4 linked regions of the Caenorhabditis elegans genome follow. The protein of the gene in region 4 purifies or fractionates together with the protein of the main gene of each other region. This does not show direct contact. Each region holds a gene or a part of one and is shown on either strand. Other genes may lie near its edges. The genes, in order: cox-4, ndab-1, men-1 and mpc-1.

The links.
Region 1: the proteins of mpc-1 (region 4) and cox-4 fractionate together in Caenorhabditis elegans (co-fractionation; one large-scale study listed by BioGRID). This does not show direct contact.
Region 2: the proteins of mpc-1 (region 4) and ndab-1 fractionate together in Caenorhabditis elegans (co-fractionation; one large-scale study listed by BioGRID). This does not show direct contact.
Region 3: the proteins of mpc-1 (region 4) and men-1 fractionate together in Caenorhabditis elegans (co-fractionation; one large-scale study listed by BioGRID). This does not show direct contact.

Annotation. Positions count from the first base shown.
Region 1 is NC_003279.8:13,656,059-13,662,968, forward strand, and holds cox-4 (Cytochrome c oxidase subunit 4), read right to left. Parts: upstream 3,071-6,910; 5' UTR 3,054-3,070; coding exon 2,922-3,053; intron 2,871-2,921; coding exon 2,741-2,870; intron 2,690-2,740; coding exon 2,424-2,689; 3' UTR 2,113-2,423; downstream 1-2,112. Other genes in the region: sac-2 (SAC domain-containing protein), read left to right, coding at 122-501, 1,180-1,744, 1,791-2,081; W09C5.12 (Leucine Rich repeat-containing domain protein), read right to left, coding at 5,815-6,057, 6,101-6,244.
Region 2 is NC_003281.10:11,914,653-11,917,271, forward strand, and holds ndab-1 (Acyl carrier protein), read right to left. Parts: upstream 1,061-2,619; 5' UTR 1,059-1,060; coding exon 915-1,058; intron 859-914; coding exon 601-858; 3' UTR 501-600; downstream 1-500. Other genes in the region: Nuclear pore complex protein npp-16, read left to right, coding at 1,283-1,420, 1,478-2,034, 2,255-2,619.
Region 3 is NC_003280.10:14,226,354-14,237,403, forward strand, and holds men-1 (Malic enzyme), read right to left. Parts: upstream 7,503-11,050; 5' UTR 7,451-7,502; coding exon 7,425-7,450; intron 5,924-7,424; coding exon 5,022-5,923; intron 4,015-5,021; coding exon 3,551-4,014; intron 2,318-3,550; coding exon 1,985-2,317; intron 376-1,984; coding exon 238-375; 3' UTR 24-237; downstream 1-23. Other genes in the region: jmjd-2 (Lysine-specific demethylase 4), read right to left, coding at 8,941-9,102, 10,518-11,050.
Region 4 is NC_003281.10:4,409,616-4,416,758, reverse strand, and holds mpc-1 (putative mitochondrial pyruvate carrier 1), read right to left. Parts: upstream 3,303-7,143; coding exon 3,162-3,302; intron 2,575-3,161; exon of another isoform or gene 2,473-2,574; intron 2,444-2,472; coding exon 2,297-2,443; intron 2,249-2,296; coding exon 2,123-2,248; 3' UTR 2,011-2,122; downstream 1-2,010. Other genes in the region: pdcd-2 (MYND-type domain-containing protein), read left to right, coding at 1-49, 442-736, 787-1,161; R07E5.11 (Intraflagellar transport protein 46 homolog), read left to right, coding at 1,533-1,655, 1,701-1,919; gpch-1 (G patch domain-containing protein 1 homolog), read right to left, coding at 4,645-5,497, 5,749-6,276, 6,492-7,023.

The sequences.
Region 1 (6,910 bases), on a different chromosome or scaffold from region 4:
ATCTTGTAGCCTCACCCAAATTTTGTAGTTTGTAGTCTCTCAGCCTCAACCAAATGTCAATTTCCGCCTCAAATGTTAATTTTTAAAACATTTTTTTTCTAAAAAACGTTCCAAATTCCAGCTCCAAACGCTTATCTCCTCAATGGAAGAAACACTGAAAACCATTGGCTTCTGCTGGGTCGACAAAACCGGAGAAGTGGTTCAATCCCAAAAAGGCGTCGTCCGAACCAACTGTATCGACTGTCTGGACCGAACGAATCTTGTTCAGGGCCAAATCTCCCTGTTTGTAGTGTTACAGCAGGCTCAACGCCTCGGAATCTTCGGACCGCTGTGCGAACCGCCCGAAGTGCTCGTACAGACGATGCAAACGATGTGGGCTGATAATGGAGATGTGATATCGACGCAATACGCCGGAACCGCCGCGCTGAAGGGAGATGTGACGAGGAATGGAGAGCGGAAGCTGATGGGGGTCATGAAAGATGGATATAATAGTGCATCGAGGTACGGGAAGCTAGAAAAAATGGCGAAAATTCGATTAAAATCGACTTGGTTGAGGCTCACACTACAAACTACAGAATTCTGACAGCCTCAACCAGAAAATTAGTTTTGGGTGAGGCTAACACTACAAACTACACTCTTTGTGAGCCTCACCAAAGTTGATCATAAGTTATTTTTTTCGAATTTTTCGGTAAAAAATCACATTTTTTTCCTTGAATCGAGTATTTTTGAAAGAAAAAATAACAAATTTGGCTGGAAAAATCGATTTTTGTTCTAAAAACCTGAAACTTTAAACTAAAAAAAGTATTTCTGCCCTAAAAAAATAAGCATTAAATAGTTTTCCGAGTTAAAAACACCAGAAAATCACTAGGAATATTGGTTGAGGCTCACACTACAAACTACAGAATCTCGTAGCCTCAACCAAGTCTCTGCCTCAACCAAATATCAATTTCCGCCTCAAATGTTCATTTTCAATACACTTTTTTACAATTCAAGAAAATAAAAAAGCACAAAATTCACACTACAAACTACAGAATCTTGTAGCCTCACCCAAATTTTGTAGTTTGTAGTCTCTCATCCTCAACCGAATGTCAATTTCCGCCTCAAATGTTCATTTTCAATACATTTTTTCTAATTCAAAAACATTCTCACACTACAAACTACACAATTTTCCGTTTTCAGATACTACCTAACACACACCAAAGATGCTCAACGCCAAAAAGCCATCAATATAGTGACAGGACAAACGGAAGCCGACGAAAATGCAGAAGAAGAGGAAAATGAGAAGGAAGAAGAAGAGAATATCAGTCGAATGGTGACTGAAACCATACAATTCCTGGTTCCAACCCAGCAAACTGTCATCGCTGGCTGGGGATTGATTAACGCATTCCAAAGTAGCGATGAAATCGACACAGTCGTCATATTAACCCGCTCCAATTTGTATATTGTAACCTATGAAATCGATGGAGAAAAGATGACTGATGTGCAAATCGTTGCGCTGGAAGATATCAATACTATTCAAACAGGAACATCTGGAAATAATCGACAATGTGCTCGACTGGAAACTCTCGAAGGTGTATTCATTTGGAGGCCATCTACTGTTCGGTTATTTAATAATACTGCAATCCGTCTGAAATCCTTGGAAGAAGCCAATGAGTATATTTCGTCGGTCGCTGAGCAGATTCAGGTTGGCAGGAATATGCTGACTGGCGCTGAAGGTTCAGTTGTTCCGGTGGCAAAGATTACGGTTTGGGTGGCTTGAGATTTTCAAAATCTAGAATTAGAAGTTTCAGATCCCTCAAATGTCGGTTCATAGAAAATCGATGGCTGCGATGGGTGCACTGTTCGGGAAGATCAAGCGAGTTGGGAAGCCATCCAGTCTATCGAAAAGTGCTTCCACAATTTCAACTGCTCAACTTCCAGAAACCGATGGAAACGAATCGGACGCATCGCAAAAATCGGATCACTTAATGACGAAAATCCTGAAAATGTCACAATTTAAATCAGATTCTCCCCAACCCGAACCATTTTCCTCGCTACTACCCGCTATCTCCGAGTGTCAAACTAAAATTTCACTTTTGTAAAGAAATAAATAAATTATTGCCTCCTGGATTTAACAGCAACATTCAATCTATTTATTTCTGGTTTACAGGGCAGCCCATCTCTCAAGAAGCCGAACCACTTGGAAAATTTGAAGAAAAAATTGGGGGAGACGAAAGAATTGGTCAGTGCGTTCGACCGCTAGGAGAGATTTACAGCTTATCTAGGTTTCAGATGAGGGTTGGGGCGATGAAGAAGAAGGTAAGCTTGAATGTTTGACGAGAGAGTGATGGGGCGGGGGGAGCGACGACAACCAAGAGAGAATTATAAAAACGAGAAAGAAGCTACAAAAAAATTTTATTTTATTTCTGCTGAATCTCTATATTTTACTTCCACTTCTTGTTCTCGTAATCGTAGTGTGTCGGTGCACCGAGGAATTGTCCCTTCTCGAGCACAAGCGCACGCTCAACCTGAGCCTCCTTGTACTCGTTCTGGAAGGTTGGCGGCAGTTCTGGGTACACGCAGACGTTGAGAAGAACAGCATAATAGGTGCAAAGTCCGAGCACGGAGAGGATAACGGCGGAGATCACCTTCCAGTATCCGGTTGGAGCCTCGAATTCGGACAGCGTTTGACGGAAGCTGTAGCGGTACACTGAAAACTTAGCAACATTTTCAAGTTTGTCGAGGAAAATTGAATACTAACAGAGCTTCTTCTCCTCAGCAGACAAGTTCTTCCAGTCGGCTTGCTCCTTGGCGCGAATTGGGGCAATCACACTGTCCTCCTTGCGGAATCGAATAGCTGGATACCAGTAGTCGAGACGATCTTGGTAGATCTGAAAAATAAATTAATTAAATTTAAAATTTATAAAATAAACAAGGCGTACGTTATCTCCATTTGCTCCGTATCCGACGAGCTCGCGTCCAGCGGCCTTATCGGGTCCCCAGTAGAATTCCTGTCCTCCGGACAGACGGGCGGTGGTGTGCACTGCGCGGAGAGCCAAACGTGGCAGCATCATTTGACGAGCCAACATACCTGAAATAAATAACTGGTTTATGGGTTGAAAATGCAGGAAAAACCAAAAAACAAAAGGTAAATCCGGCGTCAGTGTGGAGAAATGAAAAAAACATACTCAAATGAACTATTTTCATAATAAAAATGAATTTCTAAAGTAATTTCTAAAGTGGCCGACGGAAAACACCGATGGAAACGTGGAAGAGGATAGTTTTAGTCAGAAACGAACAAACAACAGAACACACGGGTGCAATATATTAATAATCAAAAACCGTTCTCTCTTCGTGTTTTAAGGATTAAACTAGCCGGAATACGAACAAACGATGGAAATATGTGGTTCCTTTTAATTTTTGCATAAAACTTGGCAAAATCTCCAGAAAAATCAATAAATTGGCAATGTAACAACGGCTCGCCGTTGCGGGCTGTTCACTCCGTAAATCGTGTTGACTGAGTAATCAACGTTTTACACGCGTTCAAGTACGCAGCCAATTGAGTCCAATAGAGCGCTCTTGCTTTTTGAATCTTTTGGGTGAAAAATTGAGAAAAACTTTTTATAAAAAAATTTATAAGCTCAGGCTTTGGATTTTCGCTTTTTGCGTCGAAAAATCGCCTCTACGGTGCTGGAATTAATAATCGGTGGGATTTTCGCAGGAAATTCTCTGGAAAAATCGATAAATTGGCGATTTTGGCCCAAAAACTCTGAAAAACGCTGGATTTTTCTGAAAAAGGGCTTTAAATTTGTCAAGATGAGCGGAAGAATCTGAAAAATCGATTAAAAAACTCAAGAAACTGGAAAAAAATCGAAAAAATCAGTTTTATTGCGTTTTTAAATGAGTTTTCCCAAAAAAATTGGAAAAAATACGATTTTTCATTGAAAAATTGAATAAAAATACAAAAATTAGGGGGTTTCTCATTATTTTTCCGAAAAATCGATAAAACGTTGCCAAAAAGCTTCAAAAAGCAGATTTTTAGCAGTTTTTCACTGAAAATCCTCAAAAATCCCGACTTTTCCGAGAAAAAACAACGAAAATTCGATAATTTCTTCCCAAAACCCTTTTTTTCTAATTTCTCACAGAAAATTCTCAAAATTTAAAAATCTACCTATTTTAAACAATTTTTCTGAAAAATTTGAGAAATTTCATGTTTTTCGCCAAAAAAAAGCCATTTTTTTACGAAAAAGTGCTCTAAAAAATCGATTTTTCAGCGAAAAATCAAAAAAAAAACAGCTGTTTTTATTGATTTTTTTTCCCTAATAATTGTAAAAAATACCAAAAAACCCTCAAAAATCACGAATTTAGCTTCCAGATCGGTGGCCAATTGACGAATATCAACAAATATCAGGATTATTATATATCCGCAAAGAAAATCAATATTCCCGGCGACGAAATTCTCGAGATTTCGTCCGGTAGAGCGCACTCGCTGATTCGAACCAATTTGGGCGTTTTTGCGATTGGTGATAATAATTTTGGGCAATGTGGACGGAATCCTGAGAATATGGATTATGTTGTGGGCTCTGAAGGTACAATATTTGGGATTTTTAGCTAAAACTAAGGCTTTTAGGCTTTTAGAGCAGCTTTTAGACCCCAAAAAAGCTGAAAATCGAGCTCAGCGTAGTTTTTTACCCCAACACTGCAACTTTTTCCTCACGAGGGACGAGGAAAAGTGGTTTCTAGGCCATGGCCGAGGGGCCGACAAGTTTCAGCGGCCATTTATCTTGCTTTTTTTCCGCGTGTTTTCTTTCGTTTTTCACAGCTTTTTCCCGTTTTTTCTTAATAAAACTGATAAATAAATATTTTTTGCAGATGCTAAAACAATTTCCAAGTAAAAAAATCATGTATTCAGTGGGCAAGCAGCGGTGAAAGTGGGCATTGTAATATGATGGATTACGGGAATACAAAACCTAAACTTTTTCTGAAACATGATACATATGCTGCTTAAATGCTGAGACTACCTGATTTTCATAACGAGACCGCTGAAAAAGTCGAGATTTTCGCACAAAAAGTTGAATTTTGGAAACCTCAAAACTTTTTCAGCGGTCTCGTTATGAAAATCAGGTAATGTCAGCATCTAAGCATCATATGTATCATGTTTGGGAAAAAGTTTGGGTTTTGTATTCCCGTAATCCATCATATTGCATTGACCACTTTCACGCTGCTTGCCGACTGAAAACATAATTTTTTTACTTGGAAATTGTTTTAGCATCTGCAAAAAGTATTTATTTATCAGTTTTAATAAGAAAAAACGGGAAAAAACTTTTCCTCGTCCCTCGTGAGGAAAAAGTTGCAGTGTACTAATTCAGATCTTCGTCAGACTCGAAATTTTGATGAAACGTGCGGATATCGAGTAATACTACAATCCAACGGATAAAAAATCGAAGAAGTGTTCCTCTATTCGAATTTTGAAGCAGTTGAAGTAGATATTGAAATCTTTTACTATACAACGAGAAAATTGTGAAATCAATTGATGTGGGAGATCTGAAGATCGGAAAAATTTAAGATTATACAATTAAAAAAACGAGGAATGAAAAAATGATAATTTTAAGAGGGGCAAATTAATCGAGCTTCTACTCTTGAAAATATCCGCCCCGATCTCCGCGTCCACCGCGTCCTCCGCGTCCAATACGCATCCCATCAGGCCCACGAGGCTCATCTCGATTGAGAATCAAGATCTCGGCTTCAACGTCGGCTCTACGGAACTCGTTAACCTCGAGATTGGGCTGCAGCAGTACTTGAAATACTCGGGCTGCATTTTCCTGTGGAGTCCTATCATCGATAAGTGTGCAATGGATTGTCAAAGAAGCCAGATTGGGGAACTCTCGGAGGGGAATGATTCGATCGATTGAGTGGATTGTAGTTCAGTGTCAATGTCGTCAACGATGGGCAGCTGGTCCTAAGTTGCTCAAAATCCGCTTCTCTAAGATTGTTTGAGGAAGCATCGAGAACTTGAACACGCTCAAAAACATTCATTCCTCGGAATGTTGCGATTTTGACGTTCGAAATTTCCAGTGACTAAAAATACCATGTTTGATTTAACGGTGCCTAGACAACTCACTGTGATGTTTGGATGACCGGGTAAGTCTTGTATGTTGCCAGATACAGCATTCCGAATAACCAGGTCTTCGACATTTTCGAAGTTGAACCCATTTTGTTCGTAGAGCTTTTTTTGCTCTAAGTAACGATCGAGAATCGACTCCATCAGAAGGACTGACGTGGTCTCTAAAAGACTGGTAGATTTTTATGCGATCTCTTAACAAACAATCGTATTTTTCAAGAGAATGTATACAAAATCAATGAGAATTGACGTTGGAAGTATGAAAAACAACTGAAGCCAAATTGATCTCTTAAAAGTTCCAAGATATTATCAGAAAAACACGATCGCACAAAAATAAGCAACGACGCAGTGGAACAGTGGAACTCCAACTAAGACGCAGTGGAACTCCAACTGACTAAGCTTTATTTGAACTGCGATCAGCAGTGGGCGGATATTATCCGAAATATCCGAATCAGCCGATCGAATATTTCGGATATTTTTATCCGAAGTAGCCGTTATCCGAGTTTTTCACTAATATCCGAAATTGCGAATATCCGTTTGGCGGCTTCCACGGATATTATTATCTTGACTGCTACTTGTTTTATTTCTTATTCGCAAAGTTACGCACGTTTAAATAATATTTATCGTAATTTCTGGTATACTGGAATACAAAAATGAATAATTTTATTGAAAATCTGGTTAAACAATTCTTTTTTCATTCACTTTTAAAGTTTTTTTCGAATATATTCTTCAAAAACTCGAGAAATTATTATAGAAAAAATACGATCGCACAAAAATAAACAACGACGCAACGACACTCCGCTATTTTTA
Region 2 (2,619 bases), 7.5 Mb from region 4:
TTTTCTTGATTTTTTTTGTTAAAAACTGATTCAAATCGGTTTGTATAGATTGTCGACCTGAAAAAAAAACATAATTCGACAGAAAAACACCTATAAAATTTGCTAAAATGTAAACAAAAACACTTTTTTTAAAATTGTAATGAAAAAATTGTTCTAAATCAGTTTTTTTTGCTCAAAAATTTGTGATTTTTCTGTTTTTTGAACTGAAAAACGAAAAAAACTGGTTTAAATCAATTTTTAACAAGAAAAAATAACGAAATTCGCTGCAAAAACGTTTTTTTTTTTAGTTTTCTCATTAAAAATTTGTGTTTCTCCTGTTTTTCGACTTGAAAAACAAATTTCAACAAAAAAAAAGAAAGAAAAACGCCAAAATTCTGGAAAAATGCACTAAAAAAGCGGCTACCATAAACTTTCGCGTCGAGACCCCTAAATCTGTGCGCCTTTGAGAAAAGTATATCAGAAAGAAATTAACTTTTTATCAACGCGAAAATTATTAAATGAATTTCAAACTTTTATTTTTGAAAAAAAATCCGAAAAACAAAAAAAAATGATAATAGAAAATATTTCTACTGCAGCTAAAAAGATAAAGAAATACAAAAATTATTCGAAAACGTCTTCCTTGTCGGCGATGTACTGGAAGATGTCGCGTGGCGTCTTGAAGCGATCCGCATCTCCGTCGGGAATCTCGAATCCAAACTCTTCCTCCATCGCCATCACAACTTCTACGTGATCCAGAGAGTCGAGGCCGAGATCTTTCGAGAAATCCGAGTCCATTGTGAGCTTCTTCGCGTCGATTTTGTCGTAGAGTGAGAGAACCAACACAATTCGCTCCTCGAGTGTCTTTTTGGTCAGTGGAGCCTGGAAAATGTTGTTTTCTTTTTGCGAAAAAATATTTTTTTTTTGTTAATTCCCACCTTTGCAGAGTATTGTCTGATTTGGAAGCTTGGTTTCTGTGCGGAGAGGAGTATTGGGGTGATGACTCGTTGTTGGACGGACGCATTGCTCAGTGCACGCACTGAAACAGTGCGGAGAGCAGCGGAAACGGCGACTCGCAACATTTCTGAACAAATAAATAATTAATAATAATTTTTCGAACCGAAATTCGAAAAAAATTTGACGGGAAATCGGGAAATGACTCATCGAGCCTGAAAAATAAGTGAAAAATAAAAAGAAACGCCCGCAAGCGTCGTCGGGTTTGATGCCGAGTACGCAAACACCGTCACGTCACATTGCACAGTCTTGCGAATTCAAATTAAAAAACAGATTTTCGTTCAGATTCGTGATGAATTCCCTAATTCCACCGCCAACTTCTGAGCAACAAATGAACATGTTCCGGCTCCGCGACAAAATGAGCCTCCTGAATGCAGAATTTCTCAAAGTCATCAACGGATATTTCACGGAAAAGAATCATTATGATTTTGTAAGTTTAAGGTTTAAAACCTTTTTTTTATGTCTAATTAAAGATCTAATCTTTCAGTCTGGAACTATGAAATCATATATGGATCATGTGGCACAGCTCAAGCAGATTTATAAGGTCGATGATGACGTTGCAGCCGATATGACAGTGCCCAGACGAACCGAAAACTCGTCTGAAAGTTCTGGAGAAACAGTTGCTCCGCGGAAAATAGCCAAAGCTGTGCGGAAGAATGGAACGCCAAAAAATCCGCTGAATTCTACAGTTTTCGCTGCCTCGAGCCCGGCGGCGACAGTCGCGTCTGTGCCCAAGTTTGGCGACATTTCAGTGATAACCAAGGAAACGCCAGCTCCACTCGCAAAAACCGCAGAGCCACTCGTTGCTCCAGCAGCTCCAGCGACCGCCCGAAAACGCGCGATTCGTGGCGGAGGACCTCTCGGTGGAGCTGAATCAGTGGTTTTCAAATCGGGCGAAGACGGACAAGCCGCCACGTCGAGTGTGAAGATTCCGGCTACGACGATCAAATTTCCGGAGCCCACCAAGGATTTCTGGACGAAAAAGTCTGATGCGCCGGCGGCTCCGAGTAATTCAGGCTCACTTTTCGCATTTTTGGGAAAAGAGTTAGTATATATATAATCGAAATTGGAAAAAATTCATTAAAATTGAATTTTCTAACATTTTGCCACATAAAAAATAGCATTTTCGTGGTGAGAATGCTACATTTTACGCTGAAAAATTGTTTTTTCCAACTAGAAATCGAAAATGTCGGCTTTTTTGCAAAAATAGCAATTTCAGACTATTTTCTATTAAAAAAAACCCACCAATATATCAAAATTTCAGTGGCGACAAGCCGAAGGAAACTCCAAAATTCAGTGGATTCTCGTTCGGAAAGAAGCCCGCCGAGCCTTCCGAAGAGCCAAAAGCTGCGGATTCCACACCAAAATTGACATTTGGCTCACCAAAAGAAGCAGATTTGCCGAAACCAGCTAGCTCTCTATTCGGAGCCAGTCCTTCTAAGCCTCTGGTGTTCGGAGGAAGCTCCGCAGACTCTACCACATCGGCTCCAAAACCTTTCTCGGCTCTTTCCACGGCAGCTTCATTATTTGGATCAAGCTCTGCCTCCACCACCACCACCGCCACTCAACCATTATCATTTGGCTCAAGCTCCACTGGAGGCTCAAGCCTTTTCAGCGGATTCGCTGGTC
Region 3 (11,050 bases), on a different chromosome or scaffold from region 4:
GAAAAATGCCCTAACAAGCTAAATTTACATGTAAATTTATATAATTAAATTTTTGTATAATCTAAAAATCCATAGGATTATGCTATACACGTAGACATTAAGAACTTTGTGAAAAAAAAATGAATTTTTAGGGGTAAAAAGGTAAAATAGGGTGTATTTACGCGGGAAAGAGAGATGGAGAGAGAGACTAGAGAAAAATGCGAAAAAAATTGGGAAAAAAAACGATAAAATAAAAGATTATTCCTCGTCCATCGAGGTTCTTCTCAACACTGGAACCGGGAAACCGTGTTTCGAATCCTTGGCTGGCCATTCGTAAGTCTTATTGATCAGCTCATCATACTCAACACTGTACAGGTTCTGGCGAATGAACATTTCCTGGAAAAATTCAAATTTTTTATAAATTTAAAACTGAAAAAAAAGCACAAACTTTTAACCAATTTTACGAAATTTTTTAACAAATTTTTTGAGAAATTGCTAGTTAAAAATTAATTAAAAATTCTCAAAAAATCCCAAAATTTTTGACAATTTTTTAGGGGAAAATTGCGTTTTTTAACTTCTCATTTTCCTTTTTTTTGAGATTTTTTTCGGAAATTTCGGGTTAAAAATTGAAATTTCTCAAAAAATTCCAAAATATTTGAAAAATTTTAAGATTTTTGACAATTTTTAGGGGAAACTATTATTTTTAGAATCAATTTTTCACTTTTATTTCCAAGTTCAAGGTCAAAAAAATCGAAATTTTCAAAAAATTAAAATTTCCCAAAAAAAAAAAGAAGCAAAATTTCTCTTTAAAAAATTGAAATTTCCAGAAAAATCCGAAATTTCCCGAAATTTCCCGACATTTTCAACCCGAAATTCAGAATCAGCATACTTTAATTAACAATTTTCAGCTCATTTAAACGAAATATCGTAGAATCCGGTGCCAAGTACGCAAACACCGAAGCTCTGCGTACTTCTGAGGCTACAGTAACCCGGAAATTTTCAAAATTGAGCTAGAGACTCCAAAAAAAAGACGACTAGGGGCGAAATTTTACGAGGAACTCGAATTTTGCAGTGTCGATTAATCTGCGGCTCGTGTGTACTCCCCGAGGAGAAGTTTGCGTTGTTTTTGCAAGGAAATTCACGTTTTAGGCTAAAAGTAGTCCATTTTTGCTGATTTTTTGATTTTTAACGATTTAAATCACCTAATTTATTGATTTTTTAAAGTTTTTAGTGAAAATAAATGAATTTACTGCTGAAAATGCACTAGAAACCAGAAAAATCGTACTTTCACCGGAAAAAAACCTATGAAAATGAGCAATTCGAATAGTAAATTCGGAAATTCTCCTCGGGGAGTACACGAACCGCGTAAATCGACACACGGTCATATTTTTGCATTCGAAAAAAAATGTGAAAAATTATATTTTCAGCAGTTTTTTTCGGAAAAATCGTCAGAAATAAGTAGAATTTTTCAATTTTAGGCATAAAATTGTCTAAAAATCATTTTTGAAGGTATTTTTCAAAATTTTTTCATGTTTTTCAGCTAAAAATGCTTTTTTCCATGAAAAATTATTCTTTTCCTCGAGGAGTACACGACTCGCGTAAATCGGTACACGGCCATTTTTTGCATTAAAAAGTGAGGAAAATCAATTTTTTCGGGTGGGGAAAAGTCTTTTTTTGTCATTTTTAAAAATGTTTTTCATCCATTTTTCATGTTTTTTCAGCTTGAAATGCTAGGAAAATCGAAATTTTCCCGATTTTTTCCAAATTTCCACTCAAAAAATTGCTTTTCTCTCCGAGGAGTACACGATTCGCGTAAATCGACACATGGCCATTTTTTGCATTAAAAAGTGAGGAAAATCACTTTTTTTCGGGGAAAAGTTTTTTTTTTTGGTATTTTTCAACAGTTTTTCATGTTTTTTTCAGCAAAAAATGTCTAAAAATTGCAGGAAAATCGAAATTTTCCGACGTTTTTTTTTTTCAAATTTCCACTCAAAAACAACCGCACCATATCATCGGGTTTCGGGTGCAAAGTGGCCAAATCGTGTCGATAACAATACTCGCCAACTTCTACGGCAATTTTCACCGAAAGTTCTCGAATATCCTTCAGACGTGGATATACACGTGAATACGTGTTCAACGACTTCTCCGATACGGCTTCGGCGACCATACGGGCGGCCAGAAGGAACAGCTTGTCCGGAATGTTTTTGGTACGGAAGAGGACGGCTCCGAGAGCAACACCCGGGAAGATGTAGGCGTTGTTTCCCTGTCCTGGCTTATAGAGTTTTCCATTCATTTCGACATTTTCGAACGGGGATCCGGAGGCGAAGAGGACGGCTCCCTGCAAAAATTGGGTATTTTTGGAGGGAAAAATAACTGATTTTTCAGATTTTTCATTGAAAAATGATTTTTAAGATTAAAAATTGACATTTTTCCAAATTTTTCCATAGAAAATTAATTTTAATTCCATTTAAAATCATTTTTCCACGAAAGAGCTGAAAAATATAAATTTTTATTAAATTCTAAAATCATTTTTTCAACTAAAAATCTAAAAAGAATAAATTTTAAAATTGACATTTTCCACAATTTTCTTCGAAAAAATTAACTTACAATTGGAAGAAATTGTACCTTTTTAAAGATTTTTCTGTTAAAAAACAAAATTTAATTCAATTTAAAATCATTTTTCCGTAAAAAATCTGAAAAAACGACGCAACTTTAAATTATAAAATTGACTTCAATAAATTAAAAACTAAAACATTATTTTAAAATGATTTTTTTTTAATTAAAATTGGCATTTTCCAGATTTTTTAAAGAAAAATAAATTTAAAATATTCTCTTTGCCGTGGAAAATATTAATTTTCAATTAAAAAAGGTTAATTTTTGATTTATAAAGTCACTTTTTAAAAGGTAAATCTGAAAAAAAACGGTCAATTTTTGAATTTCAAAATAATTTTTCCATGAAAAATCAAGCGAAAATTGGCAAATTCTACATTTCTCAACTAAAAAAGTGCAGATTTTCTCCATATTTTTCCAGTTTTTTTTTCCAATTTTCGTTATTATTTTTATTACTATTTAAAAATTACTTTTTTCCCAGATTTTTCATTTAAAACCGCTCTAAATTCTAAAAATTGATATATATTTTAGATTTTAAAATTTAAATTTTCAGATTTCCAGATTTCTCTTTGAAAAGCGACTTTAAAATTACTATTTTTCAGGTTTTTCATTGAAAAATGGCTCTAAATTGTAAAAATTGAGATTTTTTAAGTTTTTTATTTGAAAAAAAAAACATTTTTTCATGGAAAATCTGAAAAAAAAACGGTTAATTTTTAACACAAAAAGTCCGGAAAATTATACATTTGGATTTAAAAATTTTTGATTTTTTTTCCATGAAAAAGCTGGAAAATAATAATTTTTAACTAACTTTTCATTGGAAAAATCTGAAAAACGGCGAATTTTTGAATTTAAAAATTCACTTTTCCATGAAAAATGCAGTAAATTCAGCTCAAAAAATCTGAAAAATTCAGATTTTCTCCATATTTTTCCAGTTTTTTCTCTAAATTTACATATCCCGTACATTTGTGCAGCGATAAGCCGTCTCCGCAGTGCATTCTGCTTTACTTGTAGGGTTGGACAGTGCAAAAATGATTGGCCTCGGGTTCAGCCGAGCCATTTCCTTAATAATATCCTCCGTAAATGCTCCAGCCACCGTAGATGCTCCGATGAGTGCTCCAGGCTTGACAGTCTTCACAACTTCCAGCAGATTCTTGGTATCCGGAAGATCTTTAGCGAATTTCACATGTCTCTCGCCAAGAGATTTACTACGAGACGTCGTGATGAGTCCTTCAATATCAACCATATAAATCCGACCGCAAGCTTCTTCCTCCGACAATCCCTCGTCCATCATCTGTCGGACACACATTTCGGCGACTCCGGTGGCGGCTCCACCGGCTCCGAGGAAGACGATCCGTTCCTGGGAGAGCTTCTTCTTGGTGATACGAGTTGAGGCGAGCAGGCCGGCGACGACGACAGCGGCGGTACCTGGAAATTTGCAAAAAAATTTTTTTTACAAAATTTATTTCTAACTATTTTTTAATTTTTTTTTTTAATCAAAAATTTCAAATCTGAAATCTGAAAACAAAAGAACTTTTAATTTTTAATTTTTAAAACTATTTTTTAAAGACCTTTTTTTTTTGTTTCCTATTTTATATTGAAAAAATCCAAATTTCCTGGGAAACTATTATTTTTAGAATCAATTTTTCACTTTTATTTCCAAGTTCAAGGTCAAAAAAATCGAAATTTTCAAAAAATTAAAATTTCCCAAAAAAAAAAAGAAGCAAAATTTCTCTTTAAAAAATTGAAATTTCCAGAAAAATCCGAAATTTCCCGAAATTTTCCGACATTTTCAACCCGAAATTCAGAATCAGCATACTTTAATTAACAATTTTCAGCTCATTTAAACGAAATATCGTAGAATCCGGTGCCAAGTACGCAAACACCGAAGCTCTGCGTACTTCTGAGGCTACAGTAACCCGGAAATTTTCAAAATTGAGCTAGAGACTCCAAAATAATTACATGGCTAGGGGTAAAGAAATTTTACGGAAAACTTTTACGGCGGAATTTTGCAGTTAAAATATAAAGTTATAAAGGAATATATCCCCTCAAATTTGCTTCACTATTTTTTTGAAACTCCAAAATTCGAGTTTCCCGTGAAACTTCACCCCGGGCTGTACTTTTTTTTTCGAGTTACTAGCTCAATTTTGAAAATATCCGGGTTACTGTAGCCCCGAAAGTACGCAGCGCTTCGGTGTTTGCGTACCAGACACCAGATTCTACGAGATTTCTTCGTCTAAATGAGCTGAAAATTGGCGCACAGGGCAATAAAAGTATGCTGATTCTGAATTTCATATTTGAAAACAGTGAAAATTCAGATTTTTTTTGAAAAATTTCGGCCAAAATGCAATTTTTTTTCTCAAATGTGCATTTTAAAGCCTTTTTCTCCGATTTTTTCGCTTTTTTTCCTCAATTTCCCCCCTGCCAAATTCTACCTTGAATATCATCATTAAACATGCAATATTCTCCCTTATACCGATCCAACAACCGATACGCATTCTGATTTCCAAAATCTTCAAATTGAATCAGCGTATCCCGTCCGAACCGCTTCGTGGCCGCCTTCATAAAATTATCGACGAGCGTATCGTATTCGGGACCTCTAACACGCTTTCTACGGAGCCCCGTGTAGAATGGATCGTTGAGCAGCTCGCTGTTATCAGTTCCCACGTCGAGAATCACCGGGAGACACCATTCCGGGCGAATCCCTGCGAGCGCAACGTAGAGTGCAAGTTTTCCAACGGGAATTCCGATTCCATAGGTTCCCAGGTCGCCGAGGCCGAGGATCCGCTCTCCGTCAGTGATCACAATTGCTCGGACGTTCTCTGTCGGCCAATTTGCAAGAATCTGATGGATTTTACTAATACTATTATCATTAATAGTAATGTAGAGACCCTTTGGGTTACGGTAGATGAATCCGAAATGCTGACAGGCTTGTCCTACGGTAGGAGTGTACACAATTGGCATGAGCTCCTTCACATTATCGCAGAGCACTCGGTAGTAGAGCTTCTCGTTACGATCCTGCAACGAGTCCAATTGAATGTACTTGGCAAGGTTGTCAGGTTGCTGGCGGAGTTTTGTGATGATACGGTAGGCTTGTTGCTCTTCGGTCATAAATGCGGGTGGCAGAAGCCCGTGAACTCCGAGATATTGACGTTCGTGGAGGGAAAAAGCCATTCCCTTATTGAGCCCGGGCGACTTGAGCAGGTCGATTCCTCGCTTCTGGGGTGTGGTGCGTTCCGGGCGGTAGAGCTTGTGAAGGGCCAGAGTTTTGGGATCGGAGAGATCCGGCTCGTTTTTGTCGCTCAGGCATCGTGTTGATGTGGAGAGACGGCGGATGCTGGAAATTTGGGGATTTTTGGTTTTTCATTGAAAAAAATGGCAAAAATTCAGATTTTCCCGGAGAAACCCATTTAAAATGACCGAAATTCAAATTTTTCGGAAAAAAAAATCCATAAATAATGGCTAAAAATTCAGATTTTCATGGAAAAAATTTATTTAAAATCGTTAAAATTCAGATTTTCCAGAAAAAAAACTATTTAAAATGGCTAAAAAGTAGATTTTCACGGAAAAATGTATTCGAAATGGCTGAAACTCAGATTTTTCTGGGAAAATGCCATTAAAACGGCTAAATTTCAAATTTTCCGGAAAAAAATCCATAAAAAATGACTAAATATTCAGATTTTCCCGGAAAAATCCATTTAAAAGGCTGAAAATCGGATTTTTTGGAAAAAATTTTTTTTAATGACTAAAACAGTAGATTTTCACGGAAAAAATGTATTTGAAATGGCTGAAACTCAAATTTTTTAAATATAAAAAATGGCTAAAAATCAAGCTTTCCCAGAAAAATCAATTAAAAACGGCTGAAATTCAGATTTTCTCCGAAAAAAATTCATGAAAAATGGCTAAAAATCGGATTTTCTCGGAAAAAATCCCTTAAAAACGGCTGTAATTCAGTTTTTTCCAAAAAAAAATCCATTGAAAATAGCGAAAATTCAGATTTCTCCTGGAAAAACTCATTCAAACGGCTCAAATTGAGACTTTTTCCCGGAAAAATACATTAAAAATAGCGAAAAATCTGTTTTTCCAGAAAAAAAACTATTTATAATGACTAAAACTCAGATTTTTCCGAAAAAAAATTGATTACAAATGGCTTAAAATCAGATTTTCCAGGAAAAAATGCATAAAAAATGGCGGAAAATTCATTTTAAAAATGTTGAAATTTTAGATTTTCCCGGAAAAAATCCATTAAAAATTGGCTGAAATTCAGATTTTTTCGGAAAAATCCACCAACTGCGGCTAAAAATCAGATTTTTCTGGAATAAAACCATAAAAAATGTCAAAAATTCATTCAAAATGCCAGAAATACAGACTTTTTCGGAAAAAAATCTAGTAAAATGGCTGAAATGCAGATTTTCCCGGAGAAAACCATTTAAAATGGCTGAAGTTCAGATTTTTTTAGAAAAAATAAATTTAAAATGATTAAAACTCAGATTTTCCAAGAAAAATTGGGCAAAATCGCAGAAAAATCGCAGAAATTGAAATTTTCATAGGTTTTTATCGAAAAAATCTACAAATTTTTTAAATACTCGTCAAAATTCGTAGACTTTTTCAACGAAAACCTGTAAAAATTTCAATTTCTGCAATTTCTCGCAGAAAAATCGATATTTTACGCATTTTTGCCGAGACCATCTGAATTTCACCCATTTTTCATAAATTTTTTCCGAGAAAAGCAGAATTTCAGCCGTTTTAAATGGATTTTTCCGGGAAAATCTGAATTTTTAGTCATTTTTAATACATTTCTCGAATTTCAGCTAATTTCAACGCAAAATCCTCCCTACCTGGCAGGCGAAAGACGGCTCAGCATTTTTCGTGATTCCCGCACGGTTGTGAAACCCAAGAGCAAATGAGAATTGATTCTGAAATGAGACGGAAAAATGTAAAATTTCGATAAAAACTTTTTTTTTTGAAACACGTGAAATAAAAACGGTGACAATTGATAAGAAAAATGAGTGCATTTTATCAATTTTTATTCAGAAAAAATTATGGAAAACCTGAAAATTCGGGAAAACTCGCGGTGAAACTGGAGAGACAATTGCCTGAGAAGCCACAAATGGGGGCGCCCGTCGTCTATCGATCCACGTATTCTTTCGGGATAAACTATGTGCGAGAGATCTGCACTCAGCGGAGAGACGCAGGGAGAAAAAGAAAACAAAAACACGGGCGGAACTCTTTTCTTGAAAAAATGAATTTTTATTTCAAAAAGTAAGATGGAAAATCGTTTTTCCTTCGAGTGGCGGCGAAATGAGTGCTTGGGGGAGCAAGTATGCGGTGAGAGGAGGGAAGAGGGAGAAAAAGCGAGAAAAATGATGTTTTCCCGTGTTTTTTTCTTGTTTATAGCGATATTTTTCGATCAAGGTGGCCTTGTCATCGAATTAGCCGTGATCTTTGGGGTTTTAATTGGAAGAAACAGATATTTTAATGCGATTTTTTGAATTTTCCACAAAAAATAAAGAAATTAGTTTATTTTTCCTCTCGAAAACCGACAAAAACTCAAGAAAATAACGAAAATCAATGAAAAAAATAAAGAAAAATTGTCGTCAAATGTGGCGCATTGGCCGCAAAGTACGCAGTTGCCGTGTCAATTCACCGGCGCCAATTCGAATTTTGAAAGGTTTTTTCATTAAAAAATAGCTTTTTAAAGAGAATTTCTGGATTTTGAACTGTTTTTTCATTAAAAATAGCTTTTTAAAGAGAATTTCTGGATTTTGAAAGGTTTTTTCATTAAAAAACAGCTTTGAAAAGAGAATTTCTGGATTTTGAAAGGTTTTTTCATTAAAAAACAGTTTTTTAAAGAGAATTTCTGGATTTTGAACGAGTTTTCCGGTTATTTTCAATATTTTCCCACTCCCAACGCAGCTGTCAGCTCAACACGTGTTCACAGGAAGTCAACAAATCGGATAAAGTGATCTTTGGCCAATTTTTCTGATTTTTCGACGGAATTATTTGATAAGAATGCGATTAGTGTGTTGGCATTTGGAAAAAAAAAGGTTTATTAGATAAATTGATCAATTTCGGGGAAAACATTTAAAAGTTTCTGCAAAATAATAGGGAAAAATAGCGAAAAATATTTAAATGACAAAAAAATACAGAAAAAAAACAGAAAAACAGGGATAATTAGAGATTCTTCGACTTTTCGTACAAAAAAAAACTGGGGGGAAAAGAGGCGCAGAGATCACATATTTGAGGGTAGACGGGCGGGAAAGAGAGAATATATTACATTTTGACAAGAATTTTTTGTCAGGGACTATTTAATAGTAAATTTTAAAAAATCGAATATTTATTTATTTATTAAAGCTATTTTTTGAGATACGCGTTCAGTTCTCGCTTCGTTTTCAGCCTGTTCCGTGGATGGCGGACTTCTCGGCCATCTTCCAGTCGGACCGTGTACTCGATCATCTGTCCTTTTCCACGGAAGTACGCGTCGTAGACTTGCTTGTCGTCCCACACTACTTTTACCTGCAAAACAAATTGGGGAATTTATTGATTTTTTTGGGGGTTTTTAGGACTTTTTTATAGTATTTCCGGGCTTTTTCTTTATTTATAATTTATTTAAAAAAACAGGAAAACCCATTAAAAATGACTAGAAGACTTGAGTTTTCCCTAGAAAAATCGTGATTTTAAAGGGGAAAATCTGAATTTCGGCTGTTTATAATGAATTTTTCCCGAAAAATCTGAAATATTCAGCTGAATTTTAGCTATTTAAAAACAATATTTTCGAAAAAAAAAATCGGATTATTAGCAATTTTAAACAGATTTTATCGGGAAAACCTGAATATGAGCCATTTTTAATACATTTTTACAATTTTTTTGTAAAAATCTGCACAATTTATAGTTTTTTTTTCGGTTTTGGCCTGAAAAACTATAAATAAGACGATTTGTGTGTTAAAATACCGAAAAGAATTGCCCGAAATTGAGGATTTTATCGAAAACCTTGTCCTCGAGGACTACACGAGCTCTTTAACTCCAAAATTCGAGTTCTCCGTGAAATTTCACCCCTGGCTGTACTTTTTTGGAGGCTTTAGCCCAATTTTGAAATTTTCTCGGTTACTGTAGCGCCAAAAGTACGCAACGCCGCGGTGTTTGCGTACCAGGCACCAGATTTGACGACATTTTGTTTAAATCAGCTGAAAATTGGTTCACAGGGCAATAAAATCACGCTGATTCTGAATTTCGTATTGAAAATGAGAAAAATTCGATTTTAAACACTAAAAATTGTATTTTCGGCGTTAAAAAATCGGAATTTTCCACATTTCGATTAATTTTCCAACATTTTTAATATGAAAATCAGAATCAGCATGATTTTTTAGCCCCGTACTTCATTTTTCAGCTCATTTAGACGAAATTCCGTAGAATCTGGTGCCAGGTACGCAAACACCAAGGCGCTGCGTACTTTCGGGGCTACAGTAACCCGGAATTGTGAAAATTGAGCTAGAGACTGCAAAAAAGTACAGCCAGGGGTGAAATTTCAAGAGGAACTCGAATTTTGCAGCAAAAATCATCGAAAATTTGAGGAAATTGACGATTTTTTTTGAAAATTTCAATTTCCTGGTGGAAAATCAATATTCCCCAGCATTTTTAATATAAAATTCAGAATCAGCGTACCTTTATTGCCCTGTGAATTAATTATGAGCCAATTTAGACGCAATTTCGTCAGATTTGGTGCCAGGTACGCAAACACCATTGCGCTGCGTACTTTCGGGGCTACAGTAACCCGAAAATTTTCAAAATTGACCTACAGACTCGAAAAAAGTACAGCCAGGTGTGAAATTTCACGGAAAACTCGAATTTTGCAGTTAAAATACCGTTTTAATGGTAAAATGTATGGTGGGAAGTTCAAATTTTTCAAATTTTTTGTTGCAAGATATACTCACTCTCGCCCCATACTGATGATCTCCGTTCTCACAGAACAGGCATTCACACGAGATGATATCCTCCACGTGATTATCACGACTACAGCTATTATCAAGGAAGTCAACGACAACGGTCTCCTTCTTATCAGCTCGTACGATGGCTCCTCTCGTGAACAATTTCTGCGGCGGCTCCACCACGTCCTCCACAAATACAAAATCGCCGACTTTCACGTTAGTATAGGCCTGCTGCTGCGTCGTCTTATTCACGAGATACGAGTGCTCGTGCTTATGACAGATCATCACAACGCCACGTGGATAGTCACGAACTTCACACACAAATCCAACACGGCGAGCACACGTGACATGAGCCAGTGTTGGAAGCGATGTGGTCGCCTGCTCCTCAATACAGAGCACACACGGAGCCAGACCCTCGTCTGTTCGATGGCAGACGACACATTCCCAACGGGAATTCTCGTAGAGATCGCCGAGCTCCGCGCGATACTCTTCGCTGAGCCGCCGGGGGGGCATCCGTGGGGTCTCCGATTGCTGTCGGG
Region 4 (7,143 bases):
TCTGTGGATGTTCCGCTGCGAAAAAATGTGCCAAGTGCCAAGTGGCGAGGTGAGAGAAGTTACCCATACGAAAAATGTTGCGTCCAGAATAAAAAATTCTCCGTTAAATGCAAAAAGGCGTGTGCCTACTCTAATTAGTACTCTAATTAGGCTTATAATTCCAAAATTTTCTTGCTGCGGAATTTTTATTGACTTTTAATATTTCTTCTCTCGAATATAATTATTTTGTTAAAGTTTAAAAAAATTAATACAAATATCTTCGGAAAACTTTGGAAAATCTATGAAAATTCAGCAAATTTATAATTACAGTACCCCTTAAAGGCGCTCACATTTTTGTGCATTTAACAAAAATTTGTCGTATCGAGACCAGTTACAGTATTTCTGGCCGGAAAGACGAAATTCTGGTAAATTTTGTTCACACCTTATATGTCACAATTTCAGATATTGCTCTCAAGCTCATCAAGTCATCGACTGGCCTGCTCACAAGCTCGAATGTGCTAAAGCGGCAACAGATGGCTCCATAACGGATGAACCGAAAAATCCAAGAAATGCGTTTTGTTTCAAAGAATTCGGTGTAGAAATTGATCAGGAATATATGCCAGCAAATCTGTTTGACGGACTTAGTGATGATGAAGGCGATGAGGAAGAGGAAGAAGGAAATGATGAGGATGAGACTGAAGAGGAGAAGAAAGCAAGAATCAGAGAATTTGAGAAATTTGTCAAGGAGAACAAAGGGGTTAGTTTGACGCCGGAAAAAACAATTAAATTTCTCAATTCCTTTTTCAGAAAAACGCTGACATGACAAAGGAAGATTTGGATGAAGCCACCGCCGAGCAACCAAAAGATATCGATTTTGATAAATTCAACCGTCTTGTCAATTTGCAACCCGATCAGATTATTAGATACAAGAGATACGGACAGCCACTCCGTGCAACTGGCCTTTCTGAATTGCCAGAAGTTGTGGAACCATGTGAACTTTGTGGAGCTCCTCGTCGTTTCGAAATGCAGCTTATGCCACATCTCTTGTCGCTCATCGATGTAGATGCTATTGGTCAATCTATCGACTGGGCTTCCGTGTACGTGTACACTTGCTCCGCGAGTTGCCAGATCGCTGATGATGGTTATGCGAAGGAATTTGTCGCCAAGCAAGATTTCCTTTAATTTTTTTCCTCGTTATTTCTCTTGTTCGCAATTTGTTGTTTTTCTTGTTTGTGTTGTTCTAATAAATTTTGCATTTTTTTAAATGTTTATTATTAAAAAGATTGGTGAGAAACGCCGGTTATGTATCTGAAAATTGTAATTTTTCAAAAATGGAATCAGCTTAAATGAATTATTTTTTGCAGTATTTCGATAACTAAACTCGATAAAATGAAAGAAAATAGAATTTGATTTGAAAATCACGAAATTTCGCCGCACGGTTAGATTTTTAACTATTTTTCATCAATTTTTCAATTTTCCTCGATTTTATCGAGTTTACTTATGAAAATCTTCAAACAAGACTTGAAGAAATTCGTATTTTACAGCTTATTTCAATGGAAAAAGATGCTCAAGCAGGTGAACCAGAAGAAGAAGAAGTCGATGATGAGCTGTCAAGTACAGACTTGTACGAAGATTCTATGGCTGAAGTGACATTGAATGAGACACGCGGAGGACATGTTAGTTGGAATCGTCCACTGTACTCGCATAAAAAAATGTTTTAGGACTCTGATCCATTCGATCGAAGTGGTGAATATGATGAAGACGTCGATCTTGCCGCACCTCCTCCAATCACTCCGGATATTCCAGAAATCCCTGCAGATGTGCTGATTTCGCTGAAAAATCGTGCAGAAGGAACTGCCATCGATCTCAAAAATCTCAAAAATCCATTTGACGATTCTCAAAAAGTGGATGAATCCGAAGTTGAAGCTCCATTAAAATAATGATTCTCCCTGTGAATGTTGACATCTAGTCGAGTCGCTAGTTACGGTTTTCTTCGAACACCTATTTTTGCTTTACATTTTCAGTTCATATCATAAATTTATTTTTATTTAACTTATTCTTTCTAAAATTCCCTAGAAATTCGAAAAAAGGATACCATAAAAAGAGCGAAACCCGCTAAAAATTATATATTTAATCAAATTGCTCAATGTGCCTTGCTGATCACTTCCGCATCGTGTTCGTGCTCCAAAACCTCCTTTTTCATCATCAATTTATGGTGGACGGGATCTTCAACGTAGTGCAGATAGTTGTGGTTCACAAATCGACCGAGCTGAAAAAATTAAAAATTATCAACTGGAGCTGCTGTTATGGAGTATACCTGAGCTCCTTGAGCACTGAAGTTGGCAAAATGGCAAGCGAAGAGCAAAAGATTTCGTGGTTGAACGTGCCACGCGAATCTCATGAAAACACTCGAGTAGATCAGAAGAGCTGACGTCATTGGTCCACTGATCATGTCAGGATTTTTCTGCAAAAAAAATTATAGAAAATTTCACAAAAAATTTGGAACGCTTCACGAATTTGCGTGTCATCCTTGCGCAGGGGCCATGCTAATCTTCTCTGTATTGTTCCAATTTTAGTATATGTTCTCGGAAGAACAAGACATCTCGCAATAGGAGGTGTTTATATAGGGGGGACACAAGAGGCGGCAGACATCTCGTGAGTTTGACAGAGTAGTATAAAGAGTGTGTGTGAGAGGGTGTAGGCATTTCATAACATATTTTTTGTGGAATAATTTTGGAAAAAAGGTGTTTTTTTAATAATAGCTTTTATAAGAGTTTCTCAAAAATTGCATGCTTTTTTTGAAAAGGTTGACAAATTATAGTAGTACTAAAGTTGCTATTTTCAGGTCTCAGCAGAAAATTCACAACTAAAAATAAAATTTGCAAAACAGAGTGTGCGCCTTTAAGGTGTACAGTTTTTTATTCCTTTATTGCTAGTTTTTTTTGTTAAATTTTTGGGAAAATATATTTTATTTCATGTGAAAAAAATTGATTAACCTGCAAAATTTAGAAAAGCAAGAAAACATAATTACGACTACTGTTCTTTTTAAAGGCACACACATTTTCAGCACTTATTAAAAAAACCAAATCTGGCTATGGATTAAAAGCGCTTTTCAATTTTTAAACACCCAATACAAAAGTAACGTTTTTTCACCCTAACTTGTCTCTAAAAAATGCAGTTACCTTCAAATCTCCAAGAGCAGCCAACGGAAGTCCCCAGTTAGCCACTGGTCCCCAAAAATGAGTTGACAAGAAGTAATGCTTCCATTCGGCGGTGGAATGTTGCTTGAAATATGTCGTCACTTTTGATATAACTCGAGACATCTGGAAATATGAATTTTTAGGTTTTAAGCTTTTTAAAAATATGTTCGAAAATGTTCATTTCGCTGAAATCGCGTGAGAAATCAAGAAAAAACGTCCGATATATATTTGGGTTTGATAAGGAACAAAAAGTGATAAGCAATCAAATCAGTATTTTTGTTCAATGATGATAAAATAAGGAAAACCCTCTGTAGAGAATTAGAGAAAAATGGATGAGAGAACGAAAATAAATAATTGTTTTTGTCAGTGGCTAAAAGATGATATTGATCTTTTTGGTTCCATTAGAAGGTTTAATTTTGATTTTTCAGAAATTGTCTTTAGGTTTTAAATTCAAAAAAAAATTGAAGCATGGCCGTTAAATTATGAGACTTTTGCTCCAAAAATACTATACCGGGTCTCGACACGACTAATTTCTGTTGAATGAATCGGCTTTTCATAGCTTTTCGATAAAAATATGTTTTCAAATTAAAAATTGAGGTAAAACAATAAAAACAGAAAAATTCGAAGAAATAATGAGATCTCATTATTTGTTGGATTTGAGAAAACAATGAAACATTTTTTAAAACTCAAAAAACAAAAGTTTGAGAATACAGTACTCTTTAAAGGCGCACACCTAATCCCACTCAACAAAATCTTCGTGGCAAGACAACGTGTCGATTTACGAAGCTCGTGTACTCCTCGAGGAAAACTGTGTGCATTAATTTATCGCGGATAGCTTTGTTTTTAGCCAATAAACTTGATTTTTAACCATTTTCGCTAATTGTTTTATGTATAAAACATTAATTTACCAATTTATCCCACATTTATAGTATTTCATGTAAAAAACCAATGCGTTTACTGCTGAAAACTACAAAAAAACTAGAAATTGTAGTTTTTCAGCATTAAAATTTGTTGGGTTTTTTTTCTAATTAATTTTTCTAATTTTTCAAATTAAAAAAGGTTTTTCAAATGCAATTCAAAAAATGTTTCTAAAGGTGCCGGTTAATATTTGCAGACTGAAAAAATGGAAAACAAATTGTACTAATTTTTAACAGAGAAAGCATCTGAAAAACTAAAATCTTTGAAAAATTGAAATTGAAAACTCATTTCTGCTCGAAAAATGTGACCTCAGTGCACGAGTTCGCAGGAACCAAACCTCACAATCCTTGAGAGAATAGAAAGCGAGAGAAATAGAGAACGAGAGATGCAGACAATTTAACTGGGGACAAATAGCCACACGGGAGGAGAAGGATAGTTCAGACATCACTTTGAGAAATTTTATGTTTCATTTTTACAAGTCGAAACCATAGTAATATATGATAATAAATAAATAAATAAAAAAAATTAACAAAATGTTTAATTCAGATTATTTCTTCTCCTCCCATCCATCGGAATTATCACCGGAATCGTCGGCACTAGACGAAGAATGTTTCCTCTTTGTCTTCTTTTCTTTCTTGCTCTTTTTTGATTTTTTCGATTTCTTCTTCTTTTCCTTCTCCTTCTTATCCTTTTTCTTTTTCTTCATATTCTTTTCTAAAAGTTTCAGTACTTCCGTTTTTGAAAGAACTGGTTTTGAAGATGGAGGAAGAGCTGGACCAAATGAAGATGCAGAAGTTTCATCAATAATCTGAATATCATCATCTTCCTGTTGCTTTGAAACTCTCAGCAAATCCCTATTTTCTAATTCTTTTAATTCTTTTTCCACTCGTTTTCTGTTCTCCTCCTCTTTCTTCTCAACTATTTCCCTTCTTCTTTTCAAATCCTCTTCTCTTTTTTTCAGAATCTCTTGCCGTTCCTTCTCTTCAGCTTCTTCATCTTCACTATTACTCTCATCTGAGTCTGCACCGTCTCCATCTCCAAAAATGAAATCAAAAAACGATTTTGGAGCTTTGTCTACCTTCTGATTGTTAGGCTCGGCTTCATTTTCCTCTTCTTCATCAGAATCCTTATCATCATATTCTTTCTCATCGTCATCATCTGATTGATTTCTTTTTTTCTCTTCTGCTCCTCTCTGAGCTCTCGATTTCAGAAGTCGCTCCCTCATTTCAATTTCATTTGCAGTGTTCGGAAGTCCCAACGTTGCCGAGACTCCACCAATATCTGCTAATCGATCTTTCCGCTTCCAATCAGTCTTCTGAAGAGCTGGAACTCCGACAGTGTCTGATCCAGGATATGGATGGGGAACATTGAATCGTTTAGCGAGAAGATTGTCAGGATACCTGAAAATTTAAAAATTTCTACATTTTTCAAAGGGACTAAATGGCTAAAACTAGCCCTAAACAAAAAAATTTCATAATAAGAATTCTCAGAAAATTTCTAAAAAAAGAGCCAAATATTGTAAAATCCGAATATTCGTCATCTTGATCTTGTTGCAGCACATACATTTTTTTGCCTTTTTTCGAAATTGTTTTTTGAGAAATCTCATTATGAAATTCGGTCGTTTTAGATGATTCTCAATTTAGAAACATACCAATCAAAGCTTTGCCTCGTTTTTTCTCCAAACATTTCCATTTTCACAGCGGCTAATTTATCCTCATCCTTCGTTCCAACTTTCAAATCACCGCCAGCTTCTTTCACAAATTTCGAAGCCATCATTTCATGAATCGGCGCTGCTATGGCAGTTTTTGCAAGTGGCTGAGCCCTGGATTGTACTTCTGGAAGCATTCCCCGTTCGTCAGATGTCAATTTTGACTCGAATTCTTTCTTTTCCCACTCCCACTCCCAGACAGTCAGATCAGTGGGCTGAGGGTACGGTAGACCACGTCGAATATAATGAAGAAACTCTTTAAATCGAGCTTGTCGCATAGGCTCATCAGGGAATTCAATTCGATTCCGTTGTCGTCGATCCCGATCTTCTTCTGCTTCACCACCACCACGCTCATTATCACGTTTTTCGACTTCATTTGCCTTGATATCCCATCGACTTCTTCGTTCTGTCGGTTTTTTGGAACTTTTGCCTCCAATTTCAAGTGCATTCACGCGATCTTCACCAAGGAATCTGAAATAAATAAAGTTCAACAAAAATATTCTAAAATTGACCGAAATTTAATGATGAGAATGGCCAAAAAAATGTTCCAAATAATTTTCAGGTCAAAATTCTCGGAAAAAGCTGAATCGATTTACGTTTTAAAAACCCGTAAACTCAAACTTTAGCAAATTTCGGAAAACAAAAAAAAGCGAAAAAATATGAATTATTGTTAATTTAAATCATACTTTGCTCTTTGCTCCGCATTCATATGTTTTACATCATTCTTCATCATTTGTGGAAGTTTCGAGATATCCATTGGAATCGGACGATGATCGCCTCGAAAATTCGGCGGAACTCTTGGAGGAGCATAGAATTTTCTTGGATTAAGCCTCTTTGGCTGTAATTCAAATGCAGTAACCAATTTCTGTGTTTTCAAATTACTCTCTTCTGATGCTCCAGCTACATCCAATGAAAAATCAAATTGCGAGAGATCATAATTCGAATAAACACTTTCATCTTCTTCTTCAAATGCTCCAACTCCGAATGCTTGTCCTTTTATTCCTTTGCTATTTTTCTTTCCGGATTTCAAAGCCAAAGTTGTTCTACCGTATGACTCATTAAGTACAGTAGTCTTACGAAGACCTTGATATCCTATTCCATGAGTTCCAGTTAATGGGGTCAGTTGTTTGACAAGAGCATCTTCATTCGAAAATTCGTACGCTGGAGCCACCTTTGAAGCTTGCTCGCGGTCGAATTGGGCTTCCGACGACTCGCCGCCTGGAAAAATTAATTTTTTTTGAAGGAATTGATTATTTGGTTAAAGGAGGATTAATCGATAAAAATCTTGGTTTCTTGGACTCAAAATGGCCCAAAAAGACCGAATTTTAGCACGAGAAT